Anolis sagrei: one gene and its partner. The main gene of each other region encodes a partner of the protein of the gene in region 2 in a complex. Links are inferred from orthologs where the notes say so. Each region holds a gene or a part of one and is shown on either strand. Other genes may lie near its edges. The genes, in order: INSIG2 and SCAP.

The links.
Region 1: the proteins of SCAP (region 2) and INSIG2 are in contact, whole or in part, in a cryo-EM structure (PDB 7ETW), measured with the Homo sapiens proteins. The link is inferred for Anolis sagrei from reciprocal best matches to the Homo sapiens genes SCAP and INSIG2. Residues at the interface, in NP_036367.2 of Homo sapiens: Pro200, Ser206, Val282, Ala283, Glu284, Ile286, Pro287, Thr290, Ile294, Ala297, Tyr298, Phe301, Lys305, Tyr351, Val354, Val355, Glu359, Thr409, Leu410, Val411, Ser638, Tyr639; in NP_001308258.1 of Homo sapiens: Phe41, Val45, Leu48, Leu49, Ile51, Val55, Leu57, Phe58, Pro59, Val62, Ser65, Ile66, Glu104, Trp105, Ser106, Met109, Arg110, Val112, Ala113, Val114, Val116, Gly117, His120, Gln132.

The regions. Positions count from the first base shown.
Region 1 is NC_090021.1:217,544,640-217,548,558, forward strand, and holds the start of INSIG2 (insulin-induced gene 2 protein), read left to right. Parts: upstream 1-1,128; coding exon 1,129-1,396; intron 1,397-3,919. UniProt on the Homo sapiens protein: Oxysterol-binding protein that mediates feedback control of cholesterol synthesis by controlling both endoplasmic reticulum to Golgi transport of SCAP and degradation of HMGCR.
Region 2 is NC_090026.1:131,103,111-131,107,029, reverse strand, and holds the start of SCAP (sterol regulatory element-binding protein cleavage-activating protein), read right to left. Parts: upstream 2,859-3,919; 5' UTR 2,655-2,858; intron 1-2,654. UniProt on the Homo sapiens protein: Escort protein required for cholesterol as well as lipid homeostasis.

The DNA of each region.
Region 1 (3,919 bases), on a different chromosome or scaffold from region 2:
CGACAAGTGACTATTTTGGGCAGCTCTTGGAACCTTTTTGCCCAGTCATGCTGGAGGACCTAGAGATTACCTTTTGGAGTTTTCCTGACCGAGGTAAAAGGGCCATACTCTCATCCCGATGGTACCTTTTGTTATCTTCCATCTAGTTTGACCGCCTCCCTTCTGGAGATGACCGCCTGGCTTGTCTAACCACCATGAGACTAGATTGACCTGTCTTCCCAGCATGGCTCTGGACACTGGGAACCCCAAAGACTCTTGAAGGGGTTGCCCCGATCAATGCCCTGCCATTCTCTCCACGCTCAGCCGACATCTTTTTTAGGTGAAAATGGGACTCGCTCTAAATGGACACTAGGGTTTGAAACCTGAAGTCTGGAATGCTTCCTCTCCAATGCAACTGCTGTAATAAAGGATTAGGATGTTTTATTTTTTGAAAAAAATCTTTTTTTATATGCATCTTTTCTCTCACAAAGGGACCCAAAGGGGCTTTCAACATGTTAAAAATACAGTACAAAATCAAACACACAAATATAAAACATTATAAACAAGCAAGATCAAACAAAGCAGTATACATTATTGTGCAATCTTACCACATTATATTGCACTTAGCATATTGTTATTATACGTAATATTAATAACAATATTAAATATGAATAACATATAATTTTGTCTTGTAAAAAAGCTAATAGAGGCAGAAGCAGAATTAACTGCACTTGTCAACATTTCCAGCAAAGACAAGATACAAAGATTATGATGTATGGCCTATATAGCAAAATAGCTGAATTTAATCTAATAAATTTAATACAGTTGTTATAAAAAGTATTTTTATATAATGTGCACTATTAGTATGACAAGGTTCAGTCAATCCAAATTATGAGTTTCATACAATCTATTTGGAAATAATAGGACAAAAAGAAAGAGGAATTTGAACCATAGCATTTCTTTCAAGTTAAGAACCTCTATGTTTTATGTGTATATGTGATTTCTAAAGAACATTTAGATATGTGTATGTACTTTAATTCTCCTTTTCCTTCTTTGAATAGGAATTGGAGGATGTCCTGAATCAAGGAAAAAAAGGATTGCTCCAGCCTTGGTTCTCCTTCTTTTCAGGCTTCAAACATTTTGTGCTGAATGTTGCTGGGAGTTCATAAGGCCATGGCAGATGCTGCTGCCCAGCCATCCATACGAAGGAAGTGTGGCCCATACATTTCTTCAGTCACCAGCCGCAGCCTCAACTTGATGCTTCGTGGGGTGGTCCTATTTTTAATCGGTGTCTTTCTTGCATTAGTATTAAACCTGCTACAGATTCAGAGAAATGTCACCTTGTTTCCCCCCGATGTAATTACAAGTATCTTCTCATCAGCTTGGTGGGTCCCACTTTGCTGTGGAACAGCTTCAGGTATGGCAGAACTGAGCAGATATACTAGGGAACCACTTGGGAAAATGATATGAAATCAGTCCAGTCCACACAAGGAGTGTGTGCCCAGAATCCCTTCCCATTGCCTTCAATAGTGCCTCAGTATTTGTAATTTTAGTTGTCAATAGCAAAACCTTTCTCTAAGTGCATCTACATTTTAGAATTAAAGGAGTTAGGCACCACTTTAACCTCCATGGCTCAGTGTAGATTGACAAGGTCTTTAACCTCTGCCAAAGAGTTCTGGTGTCACACCAACCTACAGTGCCCAAGTATCCATAGCATTGAGCCATTGCAGTTAAAGTGGTGCTTTAATCAGTGTAGATGCACCTTCTGTCTCTTTTTCTCTCTAGTTTTGAGAGGAATAGTTTAACCAAAAGCTTTATTTTAAAAAAATATATAATGTAAACTTAAAGAGCAAGTCAATCAGTGGAGTGATATATATTAGGAGTGTGCAAAATTCTGGACGTTTTGAATTTCAGAAAATTTTGGCATTTTGGAGACATGAACTGCCAAAATGAAACGCAGGAAGGACCCCGCCAAAGTATTAACAAATCAAAACATAAGGCTCTGAAACTTTCTGTGAAATTCGGAAAAGATTTGTTGATTCTGACCTTTTTTCCCAGTTTAACATAATCCGTTGTCCTGGGAGGGGAGAGGGGCGGGGGCTGACGTGATTGACAAGGGCAGCTGCACACTTTTTTTTCCTTGACAGCTGAAGAAGAAAGATATCAATAATGGTAATTACCTGGCCATTTTTTTCCAAGCGAGCAATCTCTCCATGAGACAGATGGGGCTGAGTGCTGCCATACTTGCTGCATCACATGCTCTTCCTCAGCCAGTCACTGGGCTTGTTTTCTTCTCCATTCTCCTCTCCTGTTGTGAAGTTGTTTTGGACTTCCAAGTCCCAGAAATCCCTGCTGAATAGCAACTGCACCTGGTTTTTTTTTTCTGCAAGCTGTCTCCTCCTCTCGATTAGGAGAGAGAAAATTTACTTTTATTTCCCCTAAAAATCAGTGGTGAGTGAAACGTTCTGAAATTTGGGAAAAATTATGTCCTGCATATGTTGTGTCATTGTTCAGAAATTCAAGGGGATCCCTTCTGTCGTTTTTTTTTAAATGTTATTTTTAAAAACTTTTAAAATTCCAAAAAATCAGTACATGAGCGAAATGTTCTGAAACTTGTGAGGCTTAAAGTTATAAAATTGTCCTTCAAGTGTTCCACATAAATGGCAGAGAAACCTCTAAAGTTCCCCCATTGCCACCAATGGAACAAAACAGTAATGAAATGAAACAAAACTTTAAAAATTCAGATTTGAAACTACCTCCCTCCCCATTTTTTGAAATATTTTCAAAATGAAATGGGCCATCTGAATTTTGAAACAAAATTCAAAACAGATTTCTGTTGCTTCGCACACTTCTAATACAGAGACAAGTGAAAAACATGAGCTAGTGAATGCATTTCCTTGAGCAGCTATGAACTTATGGCTTTTGGATTTTCTTGGTAAGGTAGTGTATGTATTTCTCGTTTCCTTTTGTTTCAGGGAATTCCTTGATAAATAAAATTGATACTTTATACTATCAGCAGAAACCCTAAGTAGGGAAGTCAAGAGCCAACACTGAGAGAGAATTCTCAAGTAAATGCCAAAAATAAGACAATTTGGCCATTAGGTTTTTTAATTTATTTATTTATTACCAAATTTGTACATCGCTCTTCTCAACCCTGAGGGGGACTCCAAGGATGTCTTATTTTTCCATGAAGATGAATTCTCATTTATTGTTGAACCAAAAAATGAACATTTATTATATACCCTACAGTAGTTGTCATCACAAACCATAAAAGCAGACACCCCTAAAGAATCAAAGTAATAGACTGCTTGCCTGACTCACACACAAGGCCACAAAAAATAAGGGCTGTAAAGTACTTGGCTCCCACACACTGTCTGGAGACTATAACGGTCTCTCACAGCAGTTCCTGGACCACTTGTACAGCAGGGACAGTATTGCAGCTTCTGACCACCAGAGGGAGTTCAAAAACTTTGCTAGGTCTTACTTTTGGGCAGTGGGGGGGGGGGCAGTGGCTTATATTTAGCAATTCAGCAAAACCTCTACTAGGTCTTATTTTCAGGAGATGTCTTATTGTCACAGAAACAGCGTAAATAAATATAATAATAATAATAATAATAATAATAATAATTTGCTAGTTTTTTCCTTCTTAGAAGGTGCACTTGGAAAAGTCTGATTACAACTATAGATTCTGTTTTACATCTAAACTTCATGTCCACCATAGTTTCTTCTTTTCCATAGCCAGACTGAAATTATTGAGTATTCTGCCTGACTTCATTTGACAATTACAATCAGCCCTCTACATCTGCAGATTTGATTATCCATAGATTTCATTAAAATGCAATCTCTAGCAATTTCTAGATCCTTCTGTGTGATTAGAGGGGAGTTGACCCAAAGTCGTGCTAGAAAAGGCAAAGGTATGATATATGATAAAAGAACAAAA
Region 2 (3,919 bases):
AAGATGCAAAAAAACCGAATATGGCTAATTGGAATAAATATTTGTTTGACCAGATCCAATCAGAAATTATTGCAAATGTAACCTGTGAGGATATGAAGGAAGATAAAATGAGGAAAATTAAAGAGAAATGGTTCATATATTCAGAATAGATAAAAAGAGGCGAAGCCAATGTAAATATTGTACAGTGATGGGAAAAGCTGAGCTCATGGATGGAGTTAAAGTTCTAATGGAAATGTGGTATTTGGGGTGGGGGGGGGGGAGGGAAGGGAAAAAACAAAAACAAAAGAGTGAATGAACTCTAAGACATACTAGATAAGTGTGTGGATAATACTGAATGGAGGAGGTGGAGGATAATGGTGTAGACTTGTGGTTATAGACGACATGCATGTGAACATCCTGCGGCTCCTCCATGATGACAACAGTCTTGGACAGCAATGGCTCCCAAAGTGACCCATTTAAGGTGGAATCAGGCATCAAACAGGGATGTGTTATTGCCCCAACTTTATTCTCCATCTTCATCACTATGATACTTCACCTTGTTGATGGGAAGCTTCCCACCGGAGTGGAAATCATCTATCGGACAAATGGCAAGCTCTTTAACCTCAGCAGACTGAAAGCCAAAACCAAGGTTACAACAACATCTGTTATACAACTCCAGTATGCTGATGACAACGTCATCTGTGCACATTCAGAAGAAGATCTACAAGCCACTCTAAACACCTTCGCAGAGCATAGGAGAAGCTCGGCCTGTCATTGAACATCAAGAAAACCAAAGTGCTCTTCCAGCAGTCACCAGCCAATCCCTCTCCAACGCCAGAGATAAAGCTTATTGGTGTAACATTACAAAATGTTGATCATTTCCACTCCCATGGCCACCACCTCTCCACCAAAGTCAACATTGACACTGAAATACAACACCGCCTGAGCTCTGCGAGTGCAGCATTTTTCCCAATGAAGCAGAGAGTGTTTGAGGACCGGGGCATCGGTAGGGAGACCAAGGTTTATAAAGCTATTGTCCTCCCAACCCTGCTATACACCTGTGAGAGGTGGACTGTCTACAGACATCACATGCAACTCCTGGAACGATTCCATCAGCGCTGTCTCCGGAAAATCCTGCAATTCTCTTGGGAAGACAAGCGGACAAACGTCAGCATGCTGGAAGAAGCAAAGACCACCAGCACTGAAGCGATGGTCCTCCGCCATCAACTCCGCTGGACCGGCCACGTTGTCCGGATGCCCGACCACCGTCTCCCAAAGCAGTTGCTCTCCTCTGAACTCAAACAAACTAGTCCAATGTGGGCTAGGCAAAACTACGGTGAGATGGATCAGTAATTGGTTAAATGGACGAACGCAGAGGGTGCTCACCAATGCTTCCTCTTCATCTTGGAAAGAAGTGACTAGTGGAGTGCCATCAGCAGGGTTCTGTCCTGGGCCCGGTCCTGTTCAACATCTTTATTAATGACTTAGATGAAGGGCTAGAAGGCAGGATCATCAAGTTTGCAGACGACACCAAATTGGGAGGGATAGCCAATACTCCAGAGGACAGGAGCAGGATTCAAAATAATCTTGAGAGATTAGAGAGATGATTGGCCAAAACTAAAAAAAAATGAAGTTCAACAGGGACAAATGCAAGATACTCCACTTAGGCAGAAAAAACGAAATGCAAAGAGACAGAATGAGGGACGATGAGGCCTGGCTCGAGAGCAGTACGTGTGAAAAAGATCTCGGAGTCCTCGTGGACAACAAGTTAAACATGAGCCAACAATGTGATGTGGCGGCAAAAAAAAACCCCAATGGAATTTTGTCCTGCATCAAGAGGAGCCTAGTGTCTAGATCTAGGAAAGTCATGCTCCTCAGGCTCTATTCCGCTTTAGTTAGACCACACCTGGAATATTGTGTCCAATTCTGGGCACCACAACTCAAGAGAGAGATTGACAAGCTGGAATGTGTCCAGAGGAGGGCGACTAAAATGATCAAGAGTTTGGAGAACAAGCCCTATGAGGAGCGGCTTAAGGAGCTGGGCATGTTTAGCCTGAAGAAGAGAAGGCCGAGAGGAAATATGATAGCCATGTATAAATATGTGAAAGGAAGCCACAGGGAGGAGGGAGCAAGCTTGTTTTCTGCTTCCCTGGAGACTAGGACGCAAGGGAACAATGGCTTCAAACTACAAGAGAGGAGATTCCATCTGAACATGAGGAAGAGGAAGAACTTCCTGGCTGTGAGAGCCGTTCAGCAGTGGAACTCTCTGCCCCAGAGTGTGGTGGAGGCTCCTTCTTTGGAAGCTTTTAAACAGGGGCTGGATGGCCATCTGTCAGGGGTGGTTTGAATGCAATATTCCTGTTTCTTGGCAGAATGGGGTTGGACTGGATGGCCCAGGAGGTCTCTTCCAACTCTAGGATTCTGTGATTCTATGTAAACATTACAATCAAACCGAAGATCACCTAAAACCCATTCAAATATTGTAACTACAACACTGAAACGGCTTCCCAGGCTGGTTCCTAATCGCCATTGAGGAAGGAGGAGTTCAACAGGTCGAGGCCTCCCTCAAAGGGTCCCCAAAACAGGCCCAAAGGGAGCCTGATTGGGAGTAGTGCGGCTCCCCTCAGCCCCAGGCGCGGCCTACGGAGCCTCCCTCTCTCCCTTCCCCTTCTCACCTCAAAAAAAGACGGGGAACAGCTCTCCAACCGCCTCCTTCCTTCCTTTCTTCCCCTCCGCGCCTCCTCACACGCCGCCCGCTTTCGCCTTCTCCTCGTTCTCCTCCTTCGCCGCTTCCCGGCTTCCGTCGCTCCGCCTCTTTTTCGTGCGCATGCGTAGAAAGAGCCCGCGAGTAAGGGAGGAACAAACCCTTTCCGCCATTTCTCCTGCCCTAGACTTCAACCTTTTGCGCGCATGCGCCACCGGGTGTTTTTTTTTTCTCTTCTGCTCTGCTAAGCCACGCCCTCCGCTCGCTGATGCCAACTGCTGCAAAAGCTTCCGCTTGGTCCTAGCGCCGGGACGAAGATTGTGCGCATGCTCCAGGAAGAGCCTTAAAGCTGTCATGGGAGTAACTCCAGCTATATAACCTATCTCTACACATAACAATGTTTGTTTGTATTTCTCAAAATTGCTTGCTTTTCGTTCATTTACAAGGATTTAAGACAAAATATTATGGTTTTCTTCATCATCCTCATCATCAATAATAATAATAATTTCCTTCCTCTATTCCTAGGATTTGGCAAACCTTGCACCTAGAAAACCTGATTGGTGAGTATAAGCAGTAATCTACATAAATAATCAAGAGAAGGTGGCAAGACTATACAGAAGATCTGTATAGGAAGGATAATAATATCGAGGAGAGTTTTGACGGTGTGGTGAATGAATTAGAACCAGACATCCTGAGGAGTGAAGTGGAATGGGCCTTAAAAACAAAGATGGCAGGGACCTAACAGAAGCTGAAGAGATCAAGAGAAGGTGGCGAGACTATACAGAAGATATGTATAGGAAGGATAATAATATCGAGGAGAGTTTTGACGGTGTGGTGAATGAATTAGAACCAGACATCCTGAGGAGTGAGGTGGAATGGGCCTTAAAAACAAAGATGGCAGGGACCTAACAGAAGCTGAAGAGATCAAGAGAAGGTGGCGAGACTATACAAAAGATCTGTATAGGAAGGATAATAATATCGAGGAGAGTTTTGACGGTGTGGTGAATGAATTAGAACCAGACATCCTGAGGAGTGAGGTGGAATGGGCCTTAAAAACAAAGATGGCAGGGACCTAACAGAAGCTGAAGAGATCAAGAGAAGGTGGCGAGACTATACAGAAGATATGTATAGGAAGGATAATAATATCGAGGAGAGTTTTGACGGTGTGGTGAATGAATTAGAACCAGACATCCTGAGGAGTGAGGTGGAATGGGCCTTAAAAACAAAGATGGCAGG